4 linked regions of the Oreochromis niloticus genome follow. The protein of the gene in region 2 purifies or fractionates together with the protein of the main gene of each other region. This does not show direct contact. Links are inferred from orthologs where the notes say so. Each region holds a gene or a part of one and is shown on either strand. Other genes may lie near its edges.

Region 1 (7,545 bases), on a different chromosome or scaffold from region 2:
CATTCAACTCCTTCAGCAAAATCTGAGAGTGGAAGCAAACACCTTTACTGCGAGTTCATCCGAGCATCTCTGTGTTCAAAAGCTCAAGCTAGGTGCATTTTTAACCCAACAAGTACAAAGTTCTTTCAACAGGAAGCTACTTACTCTTCTTGCCGAAGGAAGCGGGAGGGGGGGAGGGAAAAAAAGAGTTTTTCTTACACGAGTGAATGTCCTTTCTCAGTACCCAGAACTCAGAGTTGTCCTCAAATCTCACCAGACAACACTGCTTGACTCCATCTACCTGAGAAGGAGATAGCAGGTGAGCGGAATGATTGACAAAACTAAATGGAAGTCTTTTCAAATCCAGCCAAACACACTCACGCACATGTTGCATACACACACTCAAAGGTCTCTCTGTCACACACGCATACACACTCATACATGCACTTACTCTTTTCACATTGCCGAGGTACAGTAGTCCATCACTCCATCGAGCCAACACATCATCTCCTTCACTTACTCCCCCCATCCTGAGGAAAGAGACAGAGAGGGGAGAGAGAGCAGGGCTCATGTGAAATGGAAATCCGATTTATTCGCTGAATACTTTGCTGCCATTGCTGACAGAGGGGTTTATGGCCCCGGCATTTCGACTGCTTCTGAGACAGGCGGGCTTCAGTGCAAAGGGGTTAAAATCTCCCCCCCTCCATCCTCCTCCTTTTAGACTAGAGCATAGCGACAGCCTGTATCCACCACAGTGAAAGATGAGAGTGAGTACACAACCAGAGAGCAAGACAAATGATTACTGCACACATCAAACACACATACACACACAGAAAAAAAAAACACTGCATGATGACTACTGCAATACAGTTTGACTGAATGAGCAAAGATCACAGTGCAGCTACTTGAAACATCTTCCCTGCACTTTGCTGTTGTCTTCCCCTCTCCCAACATCTTAAAAACTTGAATAGATGCATCAAATGACTCTGCAGGCATTATCTCTGCACATTGAGCATTTGTTCCAGTGCATGCACTCAAGTCAAGACAGACGCAGGATGCATTACAGTGTATGTAGCCTTTTGTGAATCAGAGGGAAATCAGGCAAATTTCACTGAAAGCTGGCCGGTGAAGGGTACCTGTCAAGTCGAACTCCTTTCCGTCGGGGTCACAGTGATTCCTGGACAGGCTGGACATGAAATGCCCTCATCTGCTGTGGGTCTCCGCTGCCCAATTACTGCCAGCTCGGATGCGCAGCCTGCGTGTTTGCAAAAAGTGGATGATGTGCATGTATGTCCCTGTCTGTGCCAAGCGCCTGTGTGTGTCAGTCAAGCCGTCAGCGAGGAGGAGGGAGAGGAGGAGGAGGAGGGGGGGGACTGACTGTCCGTCCGTCTCTCAGTCTAGTTTGTCCGTCCTCCGCGGTGCCGTTTCGTCATGTTCCCGTCGCTTTTGCTCTCTCTCCCCCCTCTCCGTCACCACCTACTGATGCTATTAAGGCGGGTTTGTCAGAGCAGCACCGGAATCAAGCCGCCAGAGACGCCATCATCCCTGCCTCTCGCTCTCGACCGACTTGTTGTGACGCAGACATAAAACACCGAGATAGAGTGGGAGGGAGATACTGATAGAGGGGGATCCAGAGGTGGCGGGGGGGTCCTCCGCGAGAGCACCTTCCTGTGTGAGAGATTGACCCTAAATCCCTGTGACAAGGTGGGATTGTGATTTCTGAGAAAAGAAAGGAGGGCGGCGGTGCGCTAAAAGCCAGCGGAAGCAGCGCGCCCGGTGACAGGGGCCAATTAAGTAGCCAATTAGTGAGTTTAGCCGCCTCATTAATTGGTTTCGAACAAGAAGGGACCGGACAAGTTTAGGAAACCGATGGGAAAAGTTTTCAGCAGTAGAAGCAGAGCAGGAAGATTAAACTGTTGCTTATCAGTGCTGATTTTTAGGAATGAACTGAATTTGGTGTGATCGTTCTTTCTGTTTTACTCAAGAGTTTGGGGATAACATTAAACATTATTTAGAAAATACTACAATGTAAGATTTAAAGCATGTATGAGCTCACTGACTTGCAACACAACGTCACAGAGAATTACTTCCCATATAAACCAGATCTTACAATTTTATCTAAAAAATAAACTCCAAAGGGGACAAATATCCAGAGGGTCATCTCCTCTGGGCTGCGATGTCTGATGGCTCACAAAAGATAAAAAACATGCACAAATGCACAGTGTCTCTAATTGCACCAGTTCCAGACATACATCCAATGCAGGCTGCTTCACTGAGTTCAGTCTTGAATGAACCATGCACGTTGTTGAGTATATATGGTTACTGAAAACCTATTAACTGCTTCAGAAAAGGCAAACATCGGGGGAAAGCTGCTTCCAGAGAGTCACAGACACGTTATTAAATTGTAAACAATGCTAAATCACTCCGGGATTTAGATTACTCTTACAGTTAAATTGCTTTAGTCAAACGGCGCGTTTTGCTGTTTTTGGCTGCAGGCTCATCCATCAAATCCAAGGTTGTGTTTGTTTGTTTTTGCTTTCTTTTCTTGTTTATGTCTTGCACATTACTCACACCAGTCGAGCGTGTGGTAACACCGCCGTGCGGTTCAAAATGGCCCCTGGCAGATTAAAAAAAAAAAAGAAAAGAAAAGAAAGAAAGAGAGAAAGCGTACAGTGTCATTTTCCAAATGTGGCCGCTGGGTGGCGAACAAATACCAGAACAGGAACTACTGCAATCAGGCCTGTCAGTCTCATGGACTCGCAGGATCAGAGTGAAGTTCGAGAGAAGCCCCAGAGGTGTGATGATGATGATGATGATGATGATATGAGTAGGATAATAAGAAAGGAAGACCATTTAAAATCCTCATGGCTCGTGGACTCTGTAATGTCGAGTCTTCACAGGTTATAAGCCAAAAAAAAGAAGCTAACACCCTGACATCATGGGTTTTTATTGCATGTGATGGGTGTGTTGTTTCTCAAGTTCCTTTCCGTGTCACAATTTAAAATGCATTTGCCATTACAGTCACACAGTAGCTGTTGTAATCTGAATGGTAGCATGGCCTACTTTTTACAGATGAAACCATTCATCCTTGAAGGAGCAGAGAAGGCAAATACTAAGATTTGACGCTACAGGAATGCACTAAAAATAGCATTAGATAATTGCTTAAAATATGAAGCTAAACCTAAAAGTGTCTAGATTAAATGTCATGGGCCTGAGGGTGTTTCTGTGGGGTTTGCGTGAATACCGATCAGCAGATGAGTTCAGTTGAGAGAACAGGTGTGTTTCTGGGATTTCTCAGTGGGGTGGCACAGGAGTGACCAACAAATAGGGTGGGATTTTTATTAAAAAATTATATCAAATCAGTTGAGCTCAGGTTTGTAAGGTAAAGACTGTTTCATGCATGTGTGTGTGTTGGCTTTTCAAAAATGAAGAATGTATTGTTTAAAAGGTGCCACAAGTAGCCCAGATTATGCCCAAGAGTGTCTGCTGTCTTGGTTTGCATTGTGAATATGGATGTGTATTTGAAGCAACCAACTATTAGAGCAATAATATCCTCAAGGTTATATTAGGCTTAAAGGGGCAATCTGAATTTTTCTACACATTAAGCTACACTGGCCAATCATGAGGGTCAACCTGTGAAAATTCTTGTGTACTGCAGAGAGCCTGCATTAAAATCTAGAGAAGTATGTAATACTCTAAAGCTAAATTATAGACGTCTGTGAAGGTTCTCAGTCATCCAGGTCATCGTAGTCTAAGGAGCTTGGAAAGAAAAGCGTCTGGACTTCTTTAAGTTGCTTGAATTAAATTATAGATCTGCAGAAGTGTTTGATCTTGACCCAAACCTAGAGGGTTCAAGTTTAAATGTCTAAGCCTAAGGTCGATTGTTGAAGTCTGGTAATACAGAAGACAGGTCAGAGGTCAGGCTTACTTTTAGGTTTATGAGTTTAATAGGGACTGCTTTATAATTGGTATTGTAATATATAGGTTTATTAAAGTATTAAAGTCAATTCAATGGGCCTGTTTTTCTGCAGTCAGCGATCGTTTAGATGAGGTGAAGATTTTATGGATGGAAAGACTTTCAAAATGACAGAAAATGCGCGTGTGTTTGCGTGTGGTTGTGCGTACACGTGCTCGTGCGCGGTCACGCAGTCTGCCTGCTGGTCCTTGAAGTAACATTTCCCCGGAGGCGACGCGTACGCGGTTGCGGTGTATCGCTATCCACACGGTGGAACTGCCCGGAGAGACGGATATGTTGCCAAAGCAGTGAATGCACAACGTACAGGAACTGCGACGTTAGAGTGAGAGAGAGGCGGGGAGAGAGGGAGGTAGGGAGGGAGGGAGGGAGTTTGCAGACAGACCAAAGTGCGCTATCAGCTGCTGAAAGCTGGACAGGCGAACAGTGTGGAGAGACTGATAGAGGGGCGAGAGAGGGTGGGGGGCGAGGCGGAGGATGGAGACTCCCTCGTCGTTGTCGGCGGTGACGGTGGTACAGATGGGTGCGACTCTCCTCAGCTGAGCCGGCCACCGATCCAGCAGCCCCGGCGGTCATCCAATGCAGTCTGGATCGAGCTGACCGCGGTTGGATAGCGCACATCCTGCGAATGAGACTTCGCTAACAGTAAGTTGAATTGTAGCTTCCTTCATTTATCTTCCTCTATTTGCTTAATTTTTATAGCCTAGCTCTTAATTTTTACGGCCTTCGTGTCGCTGAGTGATTCGCAGCAGGAAGCAAATGTCATCATCTGTCACTCTACTGTGTTTAAATACACGCGTCAAACTTTTGCAGCCCTGACAGTTTCGGGCTCCATTCTCGTCTTCCAGCCGACATCGAGACTGAAGCTGTCATTAGGACTGTACATTGCTGTAGCACCACCCCACGGCTACATTTATTAAACAGAAAATAGGCATTATGGGGTGTGACTTACTGTAGCCTAGTTACTGCGTTATATGTGTGTACACCTCAGTCATATGTGGCTGTTTGCTTTGGTCAGGCCAGTGAATAGCAGCCTTTCAGACTTCTGCACAACCGTTGGTCAGCTAGATCATATGCTGCACTGGTAATGCTTTGTTTCCCCTGCAGGCCTGCTCCCCTTTCCTCTCTTATTCACGGTACAAACTTGCTTTCTTGAGCAAGAATATAATGAACCACCACAAACCTGCAGTAAAGACAGAGCATTATGCAAGAGAAAGTTTAGTGTTACACAAATTGTAAAGAACCAAAACAAAATGAGTGGAAACCAGGGAGTGCCATTAATGCATTTTTAGACCACACACTTTTTAAGTGCTCGTTCGGATCCAGAGCTGTGTGAACAATCAGATGGGTCATGTGCCTTGCTCAAAGGTGTTCTGAACATGCTAGCAGGGCAGACTCTGCTGTTCTGTTGCTGGTCACATCACAGCCATTCTGTATCATTTGCTCCTGGTAAAAGTCAGAAGAAACTGCAACACACGTAACATTTATTAATACACCAAACTGCACAACGGAGCACTTTAACGTGTTCTTTTTAATAAAAATTCTTCAGGTTAACATAACTGTTTATGTGTCTGTGGTTGACATTTCCATCACCCTCATATCACTCCTACACCCACCAACTCTCTCGCTCAACACCTCTTTTCCTGTAACAGTGTTTACTTGATGTTTATCTTCAGGGCAATCTAAATACCAAAGAGGGGAAAGGGAAATGGAAGGAAGGGTTGCTATGCAAATCCAGACCTGCTGTAGAGCACAGTCAGTGTGTTAAGCAAATCAACTCCAGGATACCATTAACCATAGAGTGTTGCTTTTGTTTAAAATGCAGTTTAAAGGTTATCTTAAAGTTTTTAAAGCTATAACTGATAATTTGTTCAATGTGGAGCTCTAACATGTGCAAAGTATTCACAGGTGATTCAAGAAGACACATAACGAGGCACACACAAGCGTGGCTATACGTCATAAAGTTACAGTTAGTTTATTTATTGAAAATGACTGATGATTACTTCTTCAAACCTTAAGTACAAAATCCAGCTGCCCAGTGGTCACACATTTAGGGACATCACTCTGTACACTCTTACAGCCTTTCCTCATTTTATAAAACAAACATATTATGAAGAACCTAACTGGAAAATAGAAACATTTAGATTTCTCACATTTGTTATCTAACTGTCTAAGATTAGACATTAAAAAGCATCAAAATAAAGAAAATACAAGTTAGTTTTTGAGAAGAAAAATCGAATTCAAGATAAAAAAAATAAGCTTTAAAGCTCTGAGAAAAAAGTACTGTGCAGTGCAGGAATAAACAGTCAAGTTTTAAGCTTTGATCTAAAACCTAGAAAGTTGGAGAGAGTCTCTGTGTTTCTGACAGTTTGTTTCAGATTTGCAGTGCTTAAAAGGAAAACAGTGCTTTTCTATAATGAGTTTGGACATGTTAAATGAGTCAGTTGTGGAAATTTAAGTTAGTTTCTGATGTGATCCACTTTCATTGCCTCAGCTTTAGCACCACTGTCTGATAATAATGTAATTTTATACTTTTATGTTATAAGGAAATGAACATGTTAGTACTTAATTCATTCCAACAGCTTCTTAAGAAATATCTAAAACATTTCTTATGTGTCTCTTGTCTGCAGCAGCTGGCACCATGCTCCCCCGTAACATACGTACAGGTGGTTATAACCTGCCAGGGGTGGAATCAGACGATGTGCCCCTCATTGGCTATCGACCTTTATCACCTGACAGAGGAACCATAAGTGGCCACTCAGGGAGGAGAGCCGCTGGCGCTGAAGTGCAAAGTTCGCAGGTGAATGGTTTTTACTTTGCCTCAAAATGGATGGATGGGTGTTTTATATTTGTATATTGGTGTTCCCAACAATCACAGAAAAATATGTAAGTTTACTCAGTGTAATGTTACCTTTCTTGGCTACCTGTCTCTCCCGCCAACGACATCATATTGTTACTAATCTTAAAATGTTACAACAACTTTCAACATGTTCAAAATGTGTTCTGACCATCGATAAAGGCGCTAGCTACGACTAAATTTAGCAAATAGTAGTAACTGGCTAAATGGATAGCTGATTCATCTGATGGATAATACAGCAGTTAATGCTGTAAGCTAATGCTATTTCCTGCTATTTTATTAGAATGACATTATACTTATTAATTGTTTGTGGCTTAAAGAAACGTGTGAGATTAAAACATTAACATTTTCCCTGAACAAGTCAGGTTTTGGCCCACTGCGCAATTGCAGCACATGCAATGGCAGCAGCCAATTCCTTCATTTGCATTACTTACACTGCATCGCCCAATCTAATCTCTTAACAAGACTGGCCCCTCCCCTACCTTCACCATGCACTCACATTTTGTGTGGAAGAAGTGTCAAAGGTGCTACTGAAAAGCTGAGAGAATAAAAAGAAACTAATAATAAATGCAGCAAAATCTGTCAAATAAACCAACATGTTAGCTGTTGTTGCTGTTGGACCGTGAACAGTAGTACCAGCAACATCTAGTAACAGCTAGTAACCAGACCTCACAGTCACACGAGGCTACCGCTTCTAGCGCCAGCTGTGGAGAAGTCAGGAAGAGACGAGGAAGAG
Region 2 (7,572 bases):
TATTGCGGGATAGACAGGATCCTTTAGCTCAGCGCGACAGTGTGCTCATAGAGAGATATCGATTTTCCCGTGAGGGTATTATTTACTTAACACTCTCACTCTCTCTCTCTCTATATATATATATATATAAAAAACAAAAAAAAAAAAACACCCAGCACGCCCCTGCGGGCGGTGTATCCTTCAAGCTCGGGTCCTCTACCAGAGGCCTGGGAGCTTGAGGGTCCTGCGCAGTATCTTAGCTGTTCCCAGGACTGCGCTCTTCTGGACAGAGATCTCCGATGTTGTTCCCGGGATCTGCTGGAGCCACTCGCCTAGCTTGGGAGTCACCGCACCTAGTGCTCCGATTACCACGGGGACCACCGTCACCTTCATCCTCCACATCCTCTCGAGCTCTTCTCTGAGCCCTTGGTATTTCTCCAGCTTCTCGTGTTCCTTCTTCCTGATATTGCTGTCATTCGGAACCGCTACATCGATCACTACAGCCGTCTTCTTCTGTTTGTCTACCACCACTATGTCCGGTTGGTTAGCCACCACCATTTTGTCCGTCTGCATCTGGAAGTCCCACAGGATCTTAGCTCGGTCATTCTCCACCACCCTTGGGGGCATCTCCCATTTTGACCTCGGGACTTCCAGGTTTTTTATATATATATATATATATATATATATGTATATATATATCTCCCAACTTACTGTGCATGCTTCAGTCACCCCTTGCATGGGAACAGGTAAAAGTGATGGAGTGTTATGTAAAACTACACACAAAAAACCCACAATGTCAATAAATGTCACAGTACAAAAAGCCGGGGTGTGACGAGGGGGTGCAGGACCACCACCTGTCTTTATTTGCTCTGCCCTTTTCTTGGTTGCTGTTATGAACAAACATACAGATTATTTCAGGGTCTCTTTTCAAGAGACTAAAAGCAATATAAGTGATAAATATTACCATTCTGTAGAATATTCTTATATTTCACTTTTACTTGTTCCCATGTTCTAGTGGGTCCTGTTGTGGCTCTAATGTGAAAGAGGATATAATGTAATATAATATAATAAATTACTTACGAGTTTAATTTGTCAGCAACTTTCTGCCAGCCCTCTCTCCTTGCTTTTGCAGCCTTTGCAATGTTCCCCTGCGCTTTAATTAGACTCTGAAACTCCTGATATCCCTCAATCAAGGGTTCTTGCTCTGCTGCCAAAAAATACTGAGCGCGCTCCTTCGACATCTTCGCCGACCAATCAAAGGGTTGCCGATCAATGTTTCTACTATCGATGCGTAGCCCCTTTTAAGCCACCCAGTGATCTCAGATTACTTCATCCAGCTATACTAATCGTCAACAACAGGTGTGTTCGGAGAACCGGATTAGCGAGCTCAAGGTTAGAGCGATGATTTGATCTTGGATGTAGTAAGCGAGGTACGAAGAACGGACCCCTTGTCTGTAAATCGTTGTCCCTCTGATGCATTACTTTCTAATCGTATCCCTTCTGGTAACTGCCAATGAAAATCTTAACATCTTTAAAACTGCCTCCTGTCTTTATGTCAGCACCACTGTCTCCAAACCAGAGATCATAGCAGTCTCCATTATAATCTTCTAAACTTCCCCTTTCACTTTTGCTGCCATCTTTCTGTCACAAATCAACCCTGACACTTTTCTCTATCCACCCCACGCTGCCTGCACTCTCTTTTTGACCTCTTTTGCACACCGTCTGCTGCTTTCAGTGGGTTGATCCCCAATATTTAAACTTCACGATATCTACTCCTTGGATATTCGCCTGTCACTCATTCACACGTGTATTCTGTCTTGTCTGCCTAGTAGTTTAAATCAGACCAGGCAGCAGATTAGGACCAACCTATTAATGCCTTTTCTGAATCGACAGCTAAGAACATCCAAATACCTGTGACTATGTATCGTTTTTTGCTGGCTCATTTCACAGTAAACCCCTCTGGGCTCTGCACACTGTCTGGTGTGCTGGACGTACTCACCCTCAGGCTGTTGACACATTTAAAAGAATATCTGCACTTCTTGGACTTCCACTTGCCCTTGCCCCAGCTCTTTCTGCCGGGGGCATTGGCGGTGTTGGTGGGTGTGTCTGGGCGTTCTGCGTTGGTGCCACTCTCAACGCTGACGGCATCGTCCTGCAACCAGCAGCAACACAAACAAACGTGTTTTTAAATGCAAAATCATCTTCTAAACATGCGCATTGAGGCCAGAACATGAGCACTCACAAACAAAGTGTGCCTGCTGTGCTGAATACATTGTAAACACGTTTCTTGCCCTGCTATTTGTTTAACAGTGCACTTTTTATAGCAGAAAAAAACAAAACAATCAAAAGCGTATCACTTCCAAACTATTGGGTCAGTTTAAACACAATGAAGGAGGAGATGAGTAAAGATGGCTATGGTTGGCCCATGCTGCTACAAAAACATTCCCCATTAATCAGTTCATAAAGCGCTGTAACATTTTTCTCACAATCAAAGCTTAACTGAAGACCATTCTTGAGCAACCCATCCGAAAAACACTACCTTTTGGTCACTATTTAGTTTATTATTTATCTGCTTGATGCTTTTTGCCAAGGCTAGCTCAGGTTTACACGTGAATAACTCAGTCTGAGCACAAAGAAAACACGTGTGCGCTAACATGGAAGAAACACGTGCGGGAAAATTTATTTGAAGACACTAAAATAGTCCACAGTGAATAACTATATCTGATAGCTCCAGCTGTTTGAATCCAACCGGTGTGAATGAACAAAGATGCTAGCTAAAGCCTTTAGCACATCGGCTACTTTAGCACAATGCTAACTGGTCAGAAGCGCTACACGGCTCATCTGCGGCCAAGCATCAAACACGGTTTAAACGCTTACGTTCTCGTCTCCTGATAAGTCAGGATTGCTGTTCTCATCGCTGCTCAGCTTTTGCTTTTTCGCCGGTATTTCTTTTCCCGCTTGAGAAGGGGACTCGGACATGTTCTTATTTTCCCTCATTTTGGAATTAACCCCGCCCCTTCCGCTCCTACGCCGACGAGCATGCCGGAAACTGAATATTCAGCCAATCACGAATCTCAGCTCGACTGCACAAATACCGGTTATTTTCCGGTTAAAGCCGTGCAGGCGTATTATATATATTTTTATAATAATTTCTTTATCTTTTACTTCCGGACTTTTGTCATTTTAAATGCTCTTGAGCAATAATTCTCCAGCTTTCTGAAGATCTTTCAAAGCGTTTCTTTGGCCATTGCTGCTTTTTCAGTCATGTTCAGTCCAGTCCTTGAACCTGAACATTTTCAGGGGAATTATTTGTTTGACATTTACCTATTACTCACTCAAGCATAACAAAGAAACCTAATTCAAGGGGTGAACCAGTTTTGTGTCTACACACACACAAAAAAAACAACAACCTGGCAAAGAACCAGATTTAAATTGTATCTTTAGGCATGTATTACTGGCAACCTGTCATAAAACACAGAATTTGTTCTTATTTCTTTAGGTGAATCTACACAGTTTAACATAAAATAGTATTTTTGCACCAACAATGTGATTCCCAAGCTGAAAACTTGGCATATCTCAGCATGGTGTGCAGTGTGTTCTTGAAGATCCTGATTAAACTGCACAAGTTGAGGATAAATGTTACAACAGTGAGTGCCTACAGACATCTGTAAAACACGGTGGAGGCTCTGTCAAGGTTTGGGCTGCATTTCAGTAAGTGGTGTTCAAGATCTTGTCAAATGATGAATTAAGAACTCAGAAAAGTACCATCAGATTTTGATCCACCATGCAATTACATCTGGAAAGCATCTGATTGGTAACAGCTTAATTTTTCAGCATGGCAATAATCCTGAACACACTGCCAATGCAGTAAAAGCATTCCTGAATAAAAACACACAGTGGAACATTATCAGTCATGGATCGGCCTCCCCAAAGCCCGGACCTCAACATTATTGAAGCAGTGTGGGATCATGTTGACAGAGAACAGAACAAAAGGCAGAAACATCCAAAGAAGAGCTGAATGTCCTTCAAGAAGCCTGGAGAACTATTCCTGAAGATATGTAAATCACTGCATCTATTTCACATTTTCCTAAAAATATATGGAGACGTCCAAGACCTTTGCATAATAATGTAGATAACATTTGTTTAGAAATGTTCTATATATCCGCTAACAAAAAAGAAATCAATAACAATAATTATAATAATAATAATAATAATAATAATCATAGAGGGTGACATTTCATTAAACCAAAGAAAACCATCCACAGTTACATATGAATTTAATTATAAAAGAACTCTAAAAAATCACATCCAAGTACACAAAAATCTGTTTTTCTTTTACAGTCCAACATGTGTCATGCTGCGGCACTGAGGTGGCCTACAGCATCATTTCTGCATCCTCTAAAGAAGCCTCGCTCATCTCCTCAGACAGCTCTTCATCCTCCTCCTCCTGGTCCTCTGTCTCCTCCTCAGCCGCCCTCTTTAAGCCTCTTTGCTTTGAGAGGGCCACGGCATAGCGGATGTTGTATATGTTGAAGTCGCAGCTGCACAAACAAAGCACACATTCAGATCTGCTGAGCTGTATCTGGGCAAAGGCACAACATTTCAGAGGATCTGTAACTTACAGCTTGGAGAGGTCGTCGAAGTGCCTCTGGATGCTCTTCTGTAGCGCCTGCAGCGTGGGCAGGATGGCTCCAGACCTGCATGCCAAAGCAGATGCATTGAAATATTTGTTGCTGTCATCTTCTGTTCACTTACAGTCATGCTGAACTGAATCTGTGATGTGAATGAGAGCCTGAGGACACACCTGTTCTTCAGTTTCTGTCCGTGCAGCATGAGCAGGTTCTGGGCCCAGGTCATGTAGAACTGCAAGTGGCCCGACTTCTCCAAACACGTGGCGATGAAACCCAGCAGCTTCTCGACATAAATGTCAGGAAGAGAGCCGCAAACCACCGGGACTAGACCAGAAGGACGCACAACTCACATCACTCAGGCGTTTCCAAGTGAAAAAAGGAACTCAAAATGTTAAATAAGGTGAAATTCACTCACTCTGCTCGTGTGGGACCTTCTCCAACACTTCCTGCTTGAGGGCTTTTTCGTTGAGCCTGAACGCCAGGACTATGGCCGACGCCCACTCCTGAAGGCGCAGCTGCTTGCGTATGCTGGCCGGTGTCACGTCTAGGTCCAGGTCGTACGGGTCAAAGACCAGTGACCCGTCAAGGGAGTAGACCAGCAGGCCCTCGGTGGTGGTGGCTGCCCAACTGCGACCTGAGGAGGAGAACAACTTCACTAACCGGCCGACAAAGCTCGTCTGTAACGGGACGCATGCTTTTCATACGTGCTTCGTGAACGTGTCTGCTGGTGTCCAGCGAAGTTTGCTGCACGAGATTCAAACACCGTAATGGTAGCAGAAAACAACATGAAAAACTGCTGTGATGAAGGACAACATCAACATCATGAAGGACAACATCAGTGTTGTCTTTCATCATCCAGTGTTCACAGGATAACATTTTGAAACCATGCTCCAAGCTGTAATTCTGTCACCTACCAGTAGGGGAGAACCGCAGCGAGCTCACTCTGATCTCAGGTCTGAAGTGACGAGAACTCATGTCACCTTTAAGGATGAGCAGACACAAGAATCAGTGAAGGTCGAAGCAAAAACATCAGTGAATAAGACACCAGAGACATTTTTTTTGGTAAAAGGCCTCATGATCCTTACAAAATACAATTACTTAATTACATGGAGGGCTGCCAAAATTATATCATAAACTCAAGATCAACTCAAGCTCAAAATCAGAGAAAATGTCAAATTTTAAATCACCTAAATTAATCAAAATACATTAAAATCCTCACTTCTAAAGTTGACCTATTTTTAATTCTGGCGGTTTCAGTCCTCCATAGAGCTATGTGGACAGCGATCACCACTTCTGTCCACTGCACCTTGTAGCAAACACACAACTTCCACACTTATAATAACTGGTCTGAGCCTTCGTGTGAGGGTTGTACCTCTCCTGACTCCAGGGAGGCTGATGCTGACTCCGTCTCCGTCCCCGGCTCCTTCATCCACCAGAGCCAGACTGCCGAACTCTGTCATCTTCCTCCTGTCCAGGAACTCCTGAAGGTGAAGCAGGACAACAGGATGAGTGAAACCTGTCATAATTAAAACCTCTTCAAGGACTAAAGATGCATCCGATCCATCTATGTTTAGTCATCTAACATACACTTTTAAAAAATGCCTTAAATTCCTATTTTGGGTTCGCCTCGTCTCCTTAAAAAAACCCCTCAACCATCAACCATACATTTGTTTTTTTAGGACAGTTGATGTTATTAAATATGTATGCTGCAGTCATGTGACATGGAAATAAACTCGCTGAGCAGACTGAGGTCGCACCTCCATAGCGTCGAAGGACAGGTTGCAGGAGATTTCAAACTTCTTCATGAGCATCTGCTCCTTGATGTTGTAGATGCAGACAAACTTGGACTGACCCCCCGCCAAAACAGACTCCCCGTCCGCAGAGTAACACAGTGATGTAAACGACCTTAACGAGAGAGAGAAGAAAAAAAAAAAAGTCACATTAGACAAGATGATTTGAACCAGTGGAATCAAACCTGACGCTCGAATCCCGTCCACTCACTTGCCCTTGGCGGATTGCTTGGCTGTGATTTTATCCGTCTCCTTGCGGCCTGTCTGCAGGTCGTGTCGTCCAGCAACGGAGCCATTTTGTGTGGCCGTGTGCGGGTTCCAGAAAGAGATCTCACCGTTCAGAGTGGCCACAGCCAACTCCTGACCGTCAGCGCGGTACGTCACCGCCAAGCCTGAGGAACAAAGACATTTAAATTAAAAAAATAAAAATAAAAACACTGTGAGGGAGGCAGAATTTTACATAGACGTATACAGCACACAAGAGCACAGAGAGAACTCGCCCTGAAGGGCTATGCTGAAGCCTGATGTTTTATGCTGATGTCAGCACTAATAATAAAAATCCAGTACAGTGTATAAATGTTTTGTGTTACTGTGAAGTCACATGATGTTGTAAAGCTCAGCCAAAGAAAGTGCTGATGTCCCAAAATGACTGTTATTTTATTATCCAAAGGAAACTATAAAGCCTTTAAATAAGTTCGTGTGACCATGAACTTTGACCTTGAAGCATTACATAGTAAAATGGTTTATTTTATCATCTTTACCTATATAATCAGAGCAAAATTGGCTAAAATCTTTGGCTTCTATAAGCTGCAAAAAGTTTAAGATAAATTTAAAGATATATTCATGCACGCATGTAATTTTACAAAACTTCATGGGTTCATTGTGACATTGTAGGGCGTCGTATTGAAAAAACAAAAAGTGTGTTGTACAGCTCTCTCTATGCCCTTTCATATGATATATCACTTGATAAGTTTTCTGTAAATTTTTTTCAACATCGACTTTGCTAACAATGAAGGTCAAGGTCAAATGCATAGCAAACCTAGGAACTCAAGGCCTAGTATATTTTCGGGAAGTTTGAAAACGAGCCATAAAAAGTTGGTACTGATTTTCAGTTTGGTGTGACCTTGACTTGGACGCAGTTTTCACCCAAAGGAAATAAGCCCGAGCTGTTA
Region 3 (7,894 bases), on a different chromosome or scaffold from region 2:
TAATCAGATAATGAACCCAACACTAAAAATGTCACACAGTCACTGCACTACTCTAACATCACTTGTATGTCTGTGCTGAATCCTTCACAAGCACTCTTAGAGAGAAACAAACATTAGCAAAACATATGAAGCATCCTGGGGGTTTTCCTGGGTCAACAGATTCCAGAGGTGCTGCAAAAAGATCATAAAGTTAACACTCTGCTGTAAAAGAGGTAATACTGGTTTCAAACACAGTATGTTTGACACTGTATTCACATTTTCTCCAACATTTTCTCAACAACATAGTGTAATTGCATAACCAACATATAACCTGTAATCAGTTGCCTTCACTCAGTAATTCTGTGAGAAAAAAAAATTAACCTGTGGTATGTCCTATAAATCACAGAATCAGATCACATGATGAACCCTCTGCTGTAGAAAAGAGAATGTAAATGTTAGCGCTGCGCAGGTGTATACACACTTTCTCACAGTGACCTCTGCATTTGGCAATACAGTGAAAGTGTATGAGAGTGTTTGTGAATAAAGTGAGAAAGTGATATTACTATAACTAATGTGATATAATTATATATGTGATTAATATATGAGAAAAGAAATCTGCCACCACAGAGAGCAGTGGTTACACCGGGGACGACAAGCAGGAAAACGAGCACAGGGTGGAGACACGGCTCAACCTAATTAAACATGACAAGACAGGGAGGAAGCAAAACAAAATACAAGACATGCACCTTCAAAGTAAAACAGGAAACACAGAACACAGGGAAACCGCATAACAAAATCTAAAACTAGAACTCAGGAAATACTAAAGAGCTAGACATACTGAGGCAGAAACAGTGATTAAACCAACAACCATGATGGAACCAAAAACTAAAAGTACAAAACTCAAACACTGGGTCACCGACCCAGGACCATGACCGTACTCCAACATTTGCGGTCTGGACCGCGGTTAGCTTGGACATTTCCAGATGAAAGAAGCAAAACAACAATAAAGCACTTTCTTTTCACGGTAGTGTTACAGACTGATTTCTCTTAGTGGCGATCTCTTTGGGAGGGGAGAGTACGGGGAAATGATGCAGTCATATGGAATAAATAAATCTAAGTAAAGTCCCACTTTGTGCCCTTTGACAAGATGAGGAAACATGGTTTATCCTGCTCTGCAGACTGGTCCTGCACCTCACAGGAAGCAGTCCATAAAATCAGTAAAGGAAAAGAAGCTGCAGAGCAAGTGTAGCAGGAAGGACAAAGTGTAAAATCTCCCCAAGGTCAGTTTATTCTACCCAGGTTTGGGATCATTCCCAGTCACACGATGATGCTGCCTGGACCTCGGCATCTGAGTTGGTTTAAATTAGAAAAAATAAGTAAGCTGGAAATGTTAGTGGTGGAATCTAACTAAGTACATTTACTCTATACTGTACTTAAGTAGTTAAGTAACTCACAGGTGGCCTGCTTTAGTTTTGGCTTCCCTTTAAAGCTCTCTTATCGTTGCTTCACTATATTTTCTATTTTACTTTATTATCTGACAGCTTATGTTACTGTTGGACTTTTATATACGAAAGTCACCCAGCTGTGGATGTAAGTACAACTCAAATGATCAGTTAGTTAGTTTTTGATTTCCTTTTTGGTTTTAGACAAAAACAAAGAACTGGATTGAGAGACTGAATCTTGGGTCAGAGAAACACCTGAAAAATGTAAAAAAAAAAAAACAGATGAAATGTTCTTTTTATTTTGTTTTATTTCATCATCGAATGATTTGCAGAGAAATAGACAACAGGCAGCCCCCTTCTTCAGCAGAAGGACACAACGATGTGGTTTGTAAATGTCACGTGTTCCTCCTCCCTCGCACAGATCAGTCGACACAGTCAAACATCTGTTAATGTCAAATCTTTAGCAACAACTGGTTTTACATTAAACCAACATTTCTGTTTAATCACATTTAAATAATAGTAATAACAGTAGTATGTGTATTGTTAAAAATGTGTTTAGACACAAGTTTTGTTGTGAAAGTCCATAAACCAGATGAGTGGCCTGTGAAATGGTAAAAGTGTAGTTTGGCTTTATAGTTTCTTCTCTTCACCAGGAGAGATGAGTCCTTTGTCACAGTTGGTGTGGTCAGTGAAGATGGTCACCTGCAGGTTCAGGCTCATTGCGTCTCCAACCCACATCCACTGCCACTGTACTGAAGGGAAGTTAAAGACTTTCTTCAGGCAGTCATGGAAACAAACCATCTATAAAATACTGCAACACACCAGCTTCTGTGTCTGAATGCAAAAGAAATGTGTTGTTTGAGTGAGAGACTGCACCTGTGGCTGAACTATAGATACATTCATGTTGATTATAAATGGAACTTCAATACAAAGGTCGTGTCCAAATTCATGGGCTGCATCCTCCTGAGGACCCAGCCTTCGCGGTCTACGTGGGCCGGGTCCTCAGAAGGTCGGGTAGGCCGGAAGTAAACGGCTGTGAAATTGGACGGTCTAGCCTTCTGATTAACGTCACCGCTGTCTCGGTGGAGTTTAATAAACTCGGCCGTCTGCTCCTTGCTGTCTAAAATATAACAGGACGCTGGCGTAAACTCTCGACCGTCTCACACTTCTGTTTAATCAGTTTTCTGTTTGACGTTTATTCAGCTGTGTGAAAACCACCCGGGGGATTAATAAAGTTTTATTTTATCTAATCTAATCTAATAACTTTAATCTCAGCCAAACCGATTTACTCACGAACAAATAAAATACTGAAAACAGCCAAACAATATCATTTTTAGGTTGTCTAAGTGACTTATATATGACGTTTAACCAGAGTAGCAAAAGTCCGCGGTGATCTGAAAATGATGTGCCGGGAGTTCGCTGTTCTCAGCAGTTCCAGTGACCCTCGACCTCCCGGATAGCTATCGAGCTGGTGGGTAACAGACGTCTCCGAAAACGTCGAAGCACTTTTGCAAATATGCGATATCTTGATAAACCGAGCAGATATTTGAAGTTTACACAGCTACATTCTCGCCTGAAAATATGTTAAAAGTTTATTTTGTGACCCAGAAAGATTAATAAGAGTAATTTTAAAACTTAGTAGCGGCCGCCATTGTTGGAAACTGGAGTTTGGCTGGGCCGCGCTATGAATTCTGGGATATGGTGGGCCACGAAGGACACACCCGACCCATCCTTCAAATTCGGGGAAAAGGAGGACGCATTAGTCGGCTGCATTCGGAGGAGTCTACGAATTTGGACAGCCTTCGGCGCGTCGCTGTGACGTAATCGGCCTACAAATGCGGCCTCACGAGGATGCAGCCCATGAATTTGGACACGACCAACGTGACTGTCAGGTTTCGGTTGTGTTTAAGCAGGAGAGGACCCAAACGCATGACTCAAGACACACGGGGATACACTCAAAAGGCACGGCTTTATTAACAGGAACACAGGGAGCGATACAACACTATACTGGGAGAACCTAAAAGCTAGAGACAGAGGAGACACAAGGAAACGCACACAACCATGAGGGATGACGCGACACGGAACAAAGGGGGACGCTAACATAAATATACAGAAGGTAACGAGGGAAGTGGAAGCAAACGGGAAACACAGCTGAGGACAATTACACATGACAGAACGGGGAGGACACAAAACTGAAAATGCTGATGCCAAGACGCGGACCTTAAACATAACACAGAGGGTACACAGAGACAGCCGAGAGAGGCAGAGAGAGAGAACACGATGGAAAGAGGAAAACACGGGACACAAGGAGTGGAAGCAAAGCACAATAACTGAAATCACTATATACACGGTCACACAGAGGACAACACAGGGGGGAAATCTAACAAACCCTAATACTGAACAGAAAACCTAGAGATCTTAAGAATACAAAAGAACTTAATACAGAATGTCAAAACTCAAAACATCAGGTCAGAAGTCCTGGGACCATGACAGTGACAAGAAGTTGGTTTCAAAATGTTTAAATCTGAGACTTTATTAAGATTATTAAAGGTTTAAATTATCCAACAAATAAATATACAATTTAAATAAAGCCTCCGACTTTTCCGCTCCGCTTCCACGGACTACTTTCCCGAGGAAATACTCCGTGGACACGGAAATAGAAAAACTCACAATAACAAGGTAACCAGGAGAGGATTAAAGAAGAGTGGGGTGAGAGCCAGACGAAAGAGGGAGACACACAAACAACGAGCGCTCCCGTCTATTATCCTTGCTAATGTGCAGTCTCTCCGCTCCAAGCTGGACGAGCTGCAAGCCTGCGTCAACCACCTGCATGAGTACAGAACTGCCTCCGTTCTGGCATTCACGTAATCGTGGTTAAACAACAGCGACGACGACAGCGCGCTGCACATTGATGGCTTTTCACCACCCCTTTGTCTGGACAGAGACCGCGATATATCATATTTTAAAAATCTAATTAAATAACAAAACAACTTGTGCAGTGTCCAGGATGTTGGCTGATTCATTGTTTTGATGTTTGAAAATCAAAGTTGGGCTAATTTTAACTGCATTACAGGAAGTGCTATTAATTATTGCTTTATGCTAAATGTTGTAGTAGAAATCTCTTTAATTCAATGAGATTAAACATCATGTGATTTAGTTGCATTTAATCTGTGTGTAACAAAATTATTTTTATTTATATATTATCTTTATATATTTAGTACAACCTGAAACGTTTGTCAGAGAATAAAAGTCAGAACTGCACACTCAGAAACAGCGGTCACAGATGTTGTTCAGCTCGCAGAGAGGTGGAGTCATAGGGTGTAGATCAGTAGCGTGTAGGAAGAACAGCTGCGGGGCCGCTACACAAGAAATCTCGCTCAGAAAAAATCTCGCGGTAAAACTATTTTTTTTCCTCTCACAGCCAATTATAGCGCAGCGTCCCACACGCTTCAACGCAACAGCCAATCACAGTTAGGGTAGGCGCTGCGGCGTGATGACGGAACGATAAGGAAAAAAGCCGTGCTGTGATTCGCGGGAAAAGTGAAAAATGGCGCCGGAGTAAGTTTGAAGTTTAGCGCCGCGGAGAGCAGCAGCAGCAGACAGACAGACAGACAGACGTAAGGGAGACAGACAGGGAGACGTGAGGGAGACGGACAGAGACAGACAGACAGCCTGAAGAAGCACCGACTCAACGACCTTCTGTCCTGGGATGCCAGCAGCGGGAGGACCGGCAGAAAGGAGGCACAGCCCGGATCAGTGCAGGTATCACGGCTTGCCTCTCTGCGCTGATCCGCTCTGATTTAGCCCTGGGATTTAGTGTGGCCCGTTAGTTTAGCCCGGGTCACAGAGTTGTTGAGACCCCTGAATTTAACCCGGGTCAGTTCATCACTGTGTGCAAGTGTTTGTCTGTGAGCTGGCCCTCTTAACGTGAATTATTACGGGGTGTTACCGGGTTATCGTTTAGGATTTCATGGCCCGGTTTACTCATTACTCCGGTCGGTTATCGCGCTTTATCAGCTCTTTTCCGTTAGTTAACCCGTTAGGGTGTGGTGGGTAGTTACTGGATGGTTAGAGCTCTGTTAACGGTATGTGATGGGAGGACGCACTGCGCATGTCAGCCCTCCTCCAAACCACCGCGCAGTTCAGGAATGAATCACAGACCGTCTGTCTGTCTCTCTGCAGGATGTATGAGGACCTGATCGAAGACTTCTGCGGTCTGGAGCATCAGGTGTCTCCAGGGGGCGGAGGGTGTGAAGGGGGGCGTGTCCCCGAACCTGACGGGGTGGAGTCCAGTCTGAGCGTGGGTCAGTTCGTGCTCTGTCGTTGGTCAGATGGACTGTACTACCTGGGAAAGATCCAACGGGTAAGCGTGTGCTCACCTGACACCCACTGCAGCATCATCATGCTCATCGTGATTGGCTGAGTTTCTGTGTTCTGATTGGTGCATAGGTGAGTCCCCCTAGGCAGAGCTGCTTCGTCACTTTTGAGGACAACTCTAAGTTCTGGGTCCTCTGGAAGGACATCCAGCACGGTGAGACAGACGGGTGGAGTGAGAGAAAGCTAGAGAGAGCAAGACAGGTGCATCATGTCTGTGATCTGCTTCTTTTGTCCAATCCTAATGCAGCTGGAGTACCGGGGGAGGAGCCTCGCTGCTCTATGTGCCAGGAGGTGGACCCAAACTCCAGCACCCAAACAAACCAGATCCTGATCTGTGGAAAGTGTGGGATCGGTGAGTCTGACACACACACACACAGGAGCAGTTTATTAGGAACACCTGCCTGTGGGCTTTCTGCAGGTCAAACTGAGGGTCACACCTGCAAAGCTAAAACTGACTGCATGGTAGGACTGGGCGATATGGCCCAAAATTCATATCTCGGTATTCTTTAGCTGGATGGCGATATACGGCATATATCTCGATATTTTTTAAAGCTATAAAGTAAGAACAAAAAGAGAGTTCTTAGTCACACTGTGTCCCAGATCTCACACAGGCACTTTTATCAACATACAGCGTTTGTTTAACATTTATCAGCATTTATTAAATAATAATGCTCCATAAATAAAATAAAACACCGTTGTTTTTGTGCATAGCAAAAAGCTCACAATTGTGAAGTCAAAATGTAAACTAAAAGACGCTGAGCATAATAACAAAGTCTGACAGCCTGGAGTTGCGTGAACTGCACAGTGTCAACGCGTTAGCCCGGTTAGCTCGTTAACGCGTCACATTGATGCCGTCCAGCCCCACGCACGGGGCGATCCGCGGTAACTTGCTAACGGATATTTGCCACAGTTATGCCGTTAACGTCATTTTAACGAGATTAACACTAACAGCACTAAAATAGTAATCTCCAAATGTTTTCTTTTTACCGAGCAGCTCCTCTTTGATAGCTGCCGTGTGCATCTTGTCATTGCCTGCAGGTGAAGCAATGGGGGAGTTGTGTTCAGTGAAGGAGAGGCGAGGCAGAGTAACGCTGCGTAGAGACAAAAGTGGATGAAAGAGAGGCAAACTTGCAGCTCCACAAGTATAATTGTAACATAACGTAGTAACATATTGTCACATCTCATATCTCGTATAAAAAAATATATCGATATATTTAAAATCTCGATATATCGCCCAGCCCTACTGCATGGTGTTTGAGGGTGGGGTTTATTGGACGGGCTTGCTGTGACATCAGCATTTTCTCAGGAGGTGGAGCTCCTCCATAACTGCTGATACTTCTAATGTGTTAGCTCACGGATGTGAATGACCTCTGACCTTTAACAGAAGCTCAGAGTGAAGCTGATAGTAGAAACATTAGAGCAGACTCTGTTTGCAGTAAAGGCAGAAATGCTTTCTGATGATCAGATTTAAGGTCAAAGGTCACATCAGGATTCACCTTCATGCGATCTGAATGAAAACCTGAATGAATCGAATGCCCGTGACGATGACCGAGTGCTCTTTGTTTATCTGTTGCCATGGTGAATCCTGGGCTCTGACCATCACCTGTCTGTCAGGTTTCCACCAGCAGTGTCACATTCCTCCAGTAGAGGGCAGCGGCGCCCTGACTCCGTGGTTCTGCAGACGCTGCGTCTTTGCTCTGGCGGTCCGGGTACGATGCTTCTCACCTGTGTGTGTGTGTGTGTCTCACTCTCAGTTGTGTGTGTGTGTGTATGTGTCTCTCTCTCATTTGTGTGTGTGTCTCTCTCTCTCACACTTGTGTGTGTGTGTGTTTGTGTGTGTCGCCTGCCTCTGACTTGTGTCTCTGCACCTGTGCGTCCCACAGAAGGGCGGGGCTCTGAGGAAAGGTGTGATAGCCAAAGCCCTGAGTGTGATGAAACAGGTGCTGCCGTACGAGCTGGAGGCCCTGGACTGGGACTCGCAGCACCGGACCAATCAGCAGCAGTGTTACTGTTACTGCGGTGGCCCTGGAGAGTAAGTTGGCCTGATGAGAGCTGCAGGTGTGGTTGGCCGTTACTTGATTCACCTGTGTGCATTA
Region 4 (7,990 bases), on a different chromosome or scaffold from region 2:
TTCAGAGCTAGCTAATGGCTCGGTCAAGGACTAAAAATATAACAACTTCCTTAGATCCATAAAAAAATATGGAACTTGTGGTGATGATATGGTTGCTCAGAGCTTGTGGGTGTTGCACACTCACAACCACTTTTAATTGCAGGGCGATTGCACAGGTTGCCAGATAGGAAGCAACTTTTCTGCAAACAGCTGCAACCTGACCTGGACTGACTGCAAAATATTGCTGTCTGATTTATAAATGCAGACAGATTGACAACATGTTGCCATCAGTCTGAATGAGTCTTTGTCAGTAAACACAACTCGAGAGGACTTGAGTCAGCTGGATGCTTGTGAGCTGGTTATATTTCTATAGAACAGGAAGGTTGCTGAACGCAAATGTAATGTGAATTTCTTTTAAAAATGAATTTGAGCCTATGTAAACTTCAACAGATATGTGATTTTAAAGGATTTATCACAGTTAATTGATGTATTATTAACAATAGATTGCACTTAATTGCCAACTTGGTCCCTTTCAATCATAGACTATCTCACAATAATTATGGCTGGTTTTAGTGAGTACTGGTATGCTTGCCAATGTTATTGTGATAAAACAGGCACTGACAAAGTTCAACTTTGAGGGCATAATTTGCAAAACTAGATAAATAATATTGTATAGTGTGAAGCCCGGTAATGATATTGTATCATCTGGTATCTGGTGACTCTCACCACTAATGGAATAAAAAACTGAAGTGAAATGAACCAAATCAGAAACAAAAACAGCTGCAGTTGTTGAAAACAGGAAGAAAGATCACGTTTAATGCCAAAATAGTCAAAGTTCAGCTGTGCATACAGAAAGTAACTATTTCCTTTATTACCAACCTATAGCAGTGTTATTTTTGCATCTCTGCGAGGCTGCACTTATAAAGAGTGGTGCTTTGAGTTAAAGTGTAACTTTAGCATGCAACAATAAAAACGATAACATGGCAATGATTAGCAGCTATAACTTTTACCTTGTTTGAAATCCTAGTTTAGTATGCCAACATGCAAACATTTGCTAAGAAAAAAACACAAAATACAGCTGAGGCTTATGGACTCCTTACAGCAGGTAAATACTGATTTGGTGGTGCTGAAGTCAGAGGATTGCAAAAGTCTCTGGGAGGGGGAACGTTAACATTTTGTGTCAATAATTCGTTAATTTGTTCTTTGGTCAGTGGGGCCAAAGGTTGCTAAGCCAACTATCATGGCAATCCACACAACACAGTTACACATTTCACCATCTCTTCTATGGCAGAAAAGTCTGCGGCCTTATCAAAGAGTGTCGAACTAGAATTGCGAAAACTTTACAATAAGAAGTTACAGGACACTTCTGTGAGGTCTTGATGTTGCTCTGGAGCAACAGCTGAAGTCAGTTAATGAAATGATCCTCTCGGCAGCACACAGACTAAGAGAATAATTAAATAAAAGCAAGCAAAAAGATAAAGCAAAGAGGACTGTTGGAAGGCAGAGTGGAGCAGTGAAAAGAATTTAGGTCAGACTGCCTCCGTCGGCCACACTTCTCGACTTTTACCCAAACAAAACTGCAGTTAGTTTTTCCTCCGAGGACTGTAACTGCACTTGGGAGGATAAAGTAATTTTGCTTCTCTCTTTGATTGCATGACAGGAACTGGTTATGCCGTGTGTGTTTTGGCAGCTTGGCGTGCCTCTCATTCAGCTTCAGCAGTGTTTCCAAATCCCAGCAAAATACCCTGGCGGTGTGGCAGGCACCAAGTCAAAAGCCTTTTTATCTTTCATGTGCTGTGATTACTGTAGTTTGTAAACAGAGCAGAACTCTCTGTTATGGGTTTATACACTCTGTGGGAGACATTAAAGCGTCTGATCCGCACTGACACACAGACAGAGGGTCAAATTACTCTTAATTTGTATTCTTTAGAGATTTAAGGCATCTCACCAAATACTTTTACAAAAAGGTTAGGGTACGGGAAAATAACAAATTAATTGTCTCTCTATTTGGTGCATTTCATCAATCTGTTACTGACAACAGCAGGAATTTATTTGAGCTTTAGCAGCTGCTTTTTAATAGAGCAGGACAGATGTCTCCTCTGCATGACCACTTTGATTTTAAACACTGTGTGCCCTGAAGAGATGACTAAATAGACAGTTGGCCTCCACGAAAGAGATGGAGATAAGGATAGAGAGTGAACATTGCTATCACATCTGAATGCCTTGGCATGTGTAAACGGAATTAACATTGCCTATGTGCACACATGGAAATTAAAGGTTGGATGCAGCCCAGCCCTCCATAGTCATGACAAGCAAGTGACTTTGAGTCATGTGTGTCTGTGAACTGTCTGTGGGGTATGTGAAAGCTGAGCAGGACAGAGCTTAATCCTTCATTAAACCCTGTGGTCCCTTACAGTGTCTCCTCTGCAATGAAACCTGATATGTACTAAACGTCTTAACTAGGAAAACAATGGATAAACCTAACTGATGCCACGTATGAGGGTTAAAAAGAGTCAAAAAGATGTTTATTACTATATTACTAACCACAAAGACAGGGACAGAGACTCCACATGTTTTGCAGTTGTATAGCAGCCTCAAGGTATAAATCAATAAAATAAACAAAACAAGATAAGTCAAATAAAATGACTAAGTGCTGAGAGCTGAATGACCTATGCACGACTGAGCTAAGTGACAAAGCACAAAATCCATAGTGCAAGCTTTAGGGTCACTGTCTGTCAACAGATGGTCTCAGTTACCCAGACAAAAGACCCATATCATGTAGAGGGATTTGCGGTGATGGCCACTGTCATTTCATCCCACCTGAAATCCACAGAGCGTCTCAGGACGGAGCTGGCTCTCCTTGTCAGTTTTTGCCTCTAATCCCGCATGACGCACTGAGGGTGGCTAATAATCTCTGATTGAAAACGTGTCTTTACAGGCTCAATGAAGCCTTACTAAACTGGTTTTTAAATGTAGCACGCTTTGACATCTGAGCTACTTGATTTCTGACAGCACAGTTCGGTCCAGGAGCCATATATATGTCAGCTCTGCAGTAAACTGTGATGACTTTGCTGAAACCTGCCTTGTAAGCTTGCTACCTGGAAGAAAATAAGGAACACATTTTGCCGTTGTGAATTTATGAGCAAACAGGTTTCCTAGAAAGTTCTTAGAGAGGCTTTTTCTCAAAATTGGTGAGCCCGTTTGCATTTTGCACTGACCTTTTGTTTGAGAACATGGGGAGAAACTGATTTGAGTAGACCACAAGCAGAACTATTTGCCTAATTACTGTGAAAAATGTGCAGACTGCATGCACAATATGCAGTGAAAACACATGCAAAATCATTTTTTTCTTCTAGGATCAAAGTCCTCTCAGGCCTTAAAAAAAAAAACAACGCCCGGTACAGGATGACATGTTGCTTAGTAGCAACTGATCTCATTGAATTAAACCACGGGCCTACAGGAGACATTGGTTTACTGTAATTGGTTACTGGTTATAGCCAGATGAAATGAGGTGAGCTTGCCAACATGTTTCACACTTTGAGCTCAACATGTTTCAGCTTTCAGTAGACTGCATTAAACTGACTGTTGTGTATGTTGTAATACAGCAGCATTCTACCCTTTTTAAGAGCAAATGCAGCCCTGTACTCTCCTCCTCTTTCATAAGCTCCTTACTGTATTGGGAGAAGTTGCTGGCAGCTGCTCCTCAAATCAGAAGGTTCAACCCTTATTACCCAGCCCAAAGGAATTACTGCTGCCCTGGCACTGCTGAAGGCAAGGAAAAGACTGAGTGGAAGCCCTGGCGTCTTTACAGTCAAAAACAAAGCAGAGCCAGGGAAACGATGATATTGTTTCTAGAGCAGGCTCGCATTCATCAGGTATTTTGCATTTTGCATTCATCAGGTATTTTGATGTCGCCCACACCGAGCAGCAAGAGGAGGTACCCGTTTACTGCCAGCTGTCAGTGTGATGTGGCACCACAGCAAGCTCAAACAACCCCACAGCATCCCCTCATTTTAAACTGCAATCCACTTCACACAACACATCCTGGGTAGCAATCTTACCTGAAAGTAGAAAGACTTTTTCACCCAGGCCCGTGGAAACAGACCCTTCGCCATCACAAAAATAGATCATCTCAAGACGTGGACCTGGCTGTGGGGGATCATCCAAAAACCCATGGGAGAAAGCCTGTTCAGCATCAAACGACGGGCACAGGGAAATTATTGCAGGTTATCCGATTTTAAGCTCAGATTGTCGATTTGTGTTGACGGCGTGAGTCGCTCTGACGGCACACTTTGCCTGCGCCTGGGCTCTGTTTGCAGCAGCTGCTGAATTCCAACCAAAGCAACATAGTTGAAGCTGGGGAAAAAAAACGCAGGTTCAGAGCGCAGGCGCAAACTCTACCAATAAGATGTCTGTTTTTAAGTTTACATGTGATCAACTAATTTGACCAAAACTGCTGTCCAAGCCCACTCACCGATGCCAGATCCCCTCCGCAGATAACGGTGAGTCAATATTGCGTGTTTGCGAAACTCTGGAGGTACAAGCAGGTCAAGCCCAAGCCAGCAAGGAGAGGGAACACAAACATCCGCTTTCTCCTTCAAAATAAAGGTTTTATTGCGGAGACGCTACACACAACTTCCGGCCAGGAGGTCTAATTAAAAATTACCTGTTAGCGTCATGTTATGTTGTAGCGCCATGAAGTGGCCGTACTTTGCACAAGTTTATCAAACATCTCATCGTTAAACTTCTGATGTTTTTGAGTAAACATATTTTATATTTAGAATGTCTCTCTTAGGCAGACACTTACGCATAACACCTCCAGTAAAACGTCGACTAAAATAATAAAAAAAATTTAAAAAAATATGCTTCTTTAAGGGGCGGATATGTTTTGCTTACTAAATGCCCTGCCTACAATTTCAAATGTTTGAAAAAATGGTGAGCGTCGCGGCAGAGACAGCCAGCAGCAGTCGTTTAAGCTCTTCCCATAATGCACTCCCCGATCACCAGCGGGAAACCAAAATGGCGAACTTGCTCGGGGAAAATGAACCGTTTGTTATTTTCTGAGGAAGCCACAAACCCCGCATGTTTTCCAGACACGCTTTGGAAGTGAATTCAGTTGCTCGAGGAGCGGGATAAGAGCGGCTCTTCTGTCCGGTTATTTTTGTCGTACGAGTCGTTTGTAGAAGCGGAGGTGACCGAATGAGGTATTGTTGTCATGTTTTCCTCCCGTTAGGGGGGGTGTGGGTCCGACGGTCAGCGACCTGGCTGGGGTTACGGCTTTGCATGTGGATTATTCCCGCTGCTGAGCTCGCCCAGCTGCCAGCTATTTAATATACAAGACATTATATCAGCGTGCAGCGGCATCCCAAGCTGTCTTTTTATCTTTGCTAAGTGGCTGGCATTGAATATGTCCACTCATTATCCGAACAAAGGAAAGCCTGCATTGGAGGACAGCGTTTAAAGGCGAAGGAAAAAACCCCAATAGTTTCTTAATATCTGAAATTAATAACATTTGTAATAGAAGCTAGAAATATGACATTTTGTATTAGTATGTACAAACTATCTGCTGTCACTGAGACTTGTGGTGGAATGGAAGTGTTCAGTAGTAAGTACATTGGTACATTGGTCTTTATTTCTAAAAGGGTGGTTAGGTTTTTGTTTTTTGTCTTTCATTGCATTGAAGCCATGTTACTGACTATGTGGTTAATTACCAATTAGCACTAATTATGGGTATAATCACCTGTTGTTCAAAGCCAGTGGAGAGGAAATGCCATGTTTCACTCTCTTTTGTAAGCCCTTCTGCAAGCACACAATGCATCCTTGTGTTTGAGGGCTACACATACAGGACTGTTACTCTGCTAGCTGTTATCAGTTTAAAAAAAAAATACCAATAACATGCATTAAGTTGTACTAGTATTCTTTTGAGGAAACAGAATACACCACATATAAATAATTACAATCTGTTTACAGTAAGCAGAAAAAAAAATTCTCCTAAATTAACTTTGAACTTATTCCATATCCGCTTGCTCCATAGTCTAAATTCACATCTGCCTCTGTTCTCTTGTATTGCACTGTTTTTCAGAGACTCAGGGGTTGTGGATCACCTGTCTGTGCATCACAGAGCTCATCCCCCGCAGCGGCAGCAGCAGGCTGTGTCCTTGTCCCCCACAAGCCTTTCTGCCAGGGGAGAGTATGGAGAAGACAGCATGTCTGATAGGTTTTCAGAGGGACAGGATGTCCTGGCCCGGTGGTCAGATGGCCTTTTCTACTTGGGGACAATCGCAAAGGTTAGTGTGAGGATGATGCATGAAGGTAAACGGACTGTGTGGAGAGCGTTGGCAGAAAAACTCCTGAAATCAGTATAGGTCATTTGCAGCAAAATCTGCTCCTGTCGCATCTGGAAACAAGTAAATCTTTCTTTGTTTTGTTTTTCAGATAGATCGGGACAAGCACCGATGTTTTGTGGTTTTTGAGGATCGGTCAAAGTCTTGGGTTCTTTGGAAGGATATTCAAACAGGTGAATGTTGGCTTCGAGGTGGATAAGAATGGCTTCATTGATCCCAAAGGGAAATTTAAAATGTGCAATATATTTTAGTTTAATTGCTAGATAATATGCAGTAAAGATACTGTAAGCCAGTGCAAAGAGGGTGGGGAGTCAATTATCCACAATTTGTGCTGTGCAAACCTTTCTGCCTCTTCCAGGACTTACTTATCTCTTGCTCTTGTCACTGACAGTTAACTGTAGAGTGTATCAGTACAGTCGCAGTGCATTGCTAATATGCAGACGGGCTGCTATCGCTCCACTTAAGCCCCTTTAGCTATTATGGTGTTAAGAAAAACTTATTCTTCATTTTTATTCTTAAATGGGATGGGTCATGAATAAAGCATTAATGAAAGCTATGATCAGACACATTCGTCACATTTGACTGTAAACGATTTGTGGGATAATTTTTATTTATTTATTTTAACCTCAAACCTCATCTCAATAGTTGAATTGTGATATATTAAAAAAGTATGACAAAGAATCACCACATGAGATGCAGTCAAAATCTTGTTATAAATTCTATTCCTGTGCAAGTGTGATAAAGCGCTATGAGGCAACTGTTGCTGTTATTTGGCGCTACATTAAAAAAAAAATAAAAAAAATGATTTGAATAGAAATCCCCCTTTCGGGTCTAGAAAAGACACATAGTTATTACAAACATCCCACACCCTCGAATATGCTCAGGAGGAAGAAGGCAGCAAACTGTCCGCAATCAGGATGAAAACGGCTTTATTCCTGCTGAATCAAAAGTTAAGCCAGTAGATGGAATCTTCTCTCTAGTATCCTGGTGTAGACCTTCAGTGACACGGAAGCGTGATTACCCCCCCCCCCCCCCCCCCCCGATAACCAGACAGTTTGGATTTTATTTATCCAGGTTGTAAAATATTTTCCCTGCCACCTTTCTCTAGTTTCAGCTGGGTGAATTTGAGTCATCTTTTGTTCATGTGATGACTCGGTGTACTCCTCTGACCTCGTTTAACTGAAAGCTGCTTTAAATGATACCCTTAGTCATACCACCATTGATCTGAAACTTTAGTTGCTTACCTTCATGACTTTGGTGCTGTTTAGGGGAAGAAGATGATGAGGATGACGACGACGATGACATTGTCTGCTCCATATGCCAGGACGAAACTTCAGAGGAACCCAATGAGATTGTCATTTGTGACAAATGTGGACAAGGTATCATTTATTGTCTCTGATGTTCCAACATAAGCCAGAAACAGTTATTTTATATTATATTTATAACCCATTTAAACAGCCAGTCTCAGTAGTTTATTTATTCGTCTGTTGGGCTCTAATCTCTGGCCATTACGGATGTGTTCATTTGTGTTTTAGGCTACCACCAGCGGTGTCACTCCCCTGTCATCGATGCTGCTGTCATCGACTCTGATGACAAGTGGCTTTGCTCAGAGTGCGAGCTCACTTCTCTATCTAAGGTACAGATTTTTCTTTAAGAAGAAATGCGTC

What was found.
Region 1: the proteins of eed (region 2) and phf1 purify together in Homo sapiens (affinity purification with mass spectrometry; 8 studies listed by BioGRID and IntAct, with this or other methods). This does not show direct contact. The link is inferred for Oreochromis niloticus from reciprocal best matches to the Homo sapiens genes EED and PHF1.
Region 3: the proteins of eed (region 2) and phf19 purify together in Homo sapiens (affinity purification with mass spectrometry; 8 studies listed by BioGRID and IntAct, counting the BioPlex papers as one, with this or other methods). This does not show direct contact. The link is inferred for Oreochromis niloticus from reciprocal best matches to the Homo sapiens genes EED and PHF19.
Region 4: the proteins of eed (region 2) and mtf2 purify together in Homo sapiens (affinity purification with mass spectrometry; 3 studies listed by BioGRID and IntAct, with this or other methods). This does not show direct contact. The link is inferred for Oreochromis niloticus from reciprocal best matches to the Homo sapiens genes EED and MTF2.

The regions. Positions count from the first base shown.
Region 1 is NC_031976.2:34,397,105-34,404,649, reverse strand, and holds the start of phf1 (PHD finger protein 1), read right to left. Parts: upstream 3,018-7,545; 5' UTR 1,116-3,017; intron 510-1,115; 5' UTR 509-509; coding exon 431-508; intron 281-430; coding exon 199-280; intron 1-198. Other genes in the region: rgl2 (ral guanine nucleotide dissociation stimulator-like 2), read left to right, coding at 6,594-6,752. UniProt on the Homo sapiens protein: Polycomb group (PcG) that specifically binds histone H3 trimethylated at 'Lys-36' (H3K36me3) and recruits the PRC2 complex. Involved in DNA damage response and is recruited at double-strand breaks (DSBs).
Region 2 is NC_031986.2:20,926,817-20,934,388, forward strand, and holds the start of eed (polycomb protein eed), read right to left. Parts: upstream 3,020-7,572; 5' UTR 2,977-3,019; coding exon 2,857-2,976; intron 2,132-2,856; coding exon 1,979-2,131; intron 1-1,978. Other genes in the region: pwp2h (PWP2 small subunit processome component), read right to left, coding at 4,355-4,520, 4,602-4,676, 4,784-4,934, 5,026-5,244, 5,525-5,590, 5,983-6,091, 6,368-6,515, 6,612-6,792. UniProt on the Homo sapiens protein: Polycomb group (PcG) protein. Component of the PRC2/EED-EZH2 complex, which methylates 'Lys-9' and 'Lys-27' of histone H3, leading to transcriptional repression of the affected target gene.
Region 3 is NC_031977.2:37,161,689-37,169,582, reverse strand, and holds the start of phf19 (PHD finger protein 19), read left to right. Parts: upstream 1-4,886; 5' UTR 4,887-5,130; coding exon 5,131-5,183; intron 5,184-5,603; coding exon 5,604-5,784; intron 5,785-5,870; coding exon 5,871-5,952; intron 5,953-6,045; coding exon 6,046-6,150; intron 6,151-7,412; coding exon 7,413-7,507; intron 7,508-7,681; coding exon 7,682-7,830; intron 7,831-7,894.
Region 4 is NC_031982.2:10,795,439-10,803,428, forward strand, and holds the start of mtf2 (metal-response element-binding transcription factor 2), read left to right. Parts: upstream 1-4,959; 5' UTR 4,960-5,178; coding exon 5,179-5,183; intron 5,184-6,061; coding exon 6,062-6,266; intron 6,267-6,414; coding exon 6,415-6,496; intron 6,497-7,591; coding exon 7,592-7,702; intron 7,703-7,858; coding exon 7,859-7,959; intron 7,960-7,990. Other genes in the region: dipk1aa (divergent protein kinase domain 1A), read right to left, coding at 4,041-4,094. UniProt on the Homo sapiens protein: Polycomb group (PcG) protein that specifically binds histone H3 trimethylated at 'Lys-36' (H3K36me3) and recruits the PRC2 complex, thus enhancing PRC2 H3K27me3 methylation activity.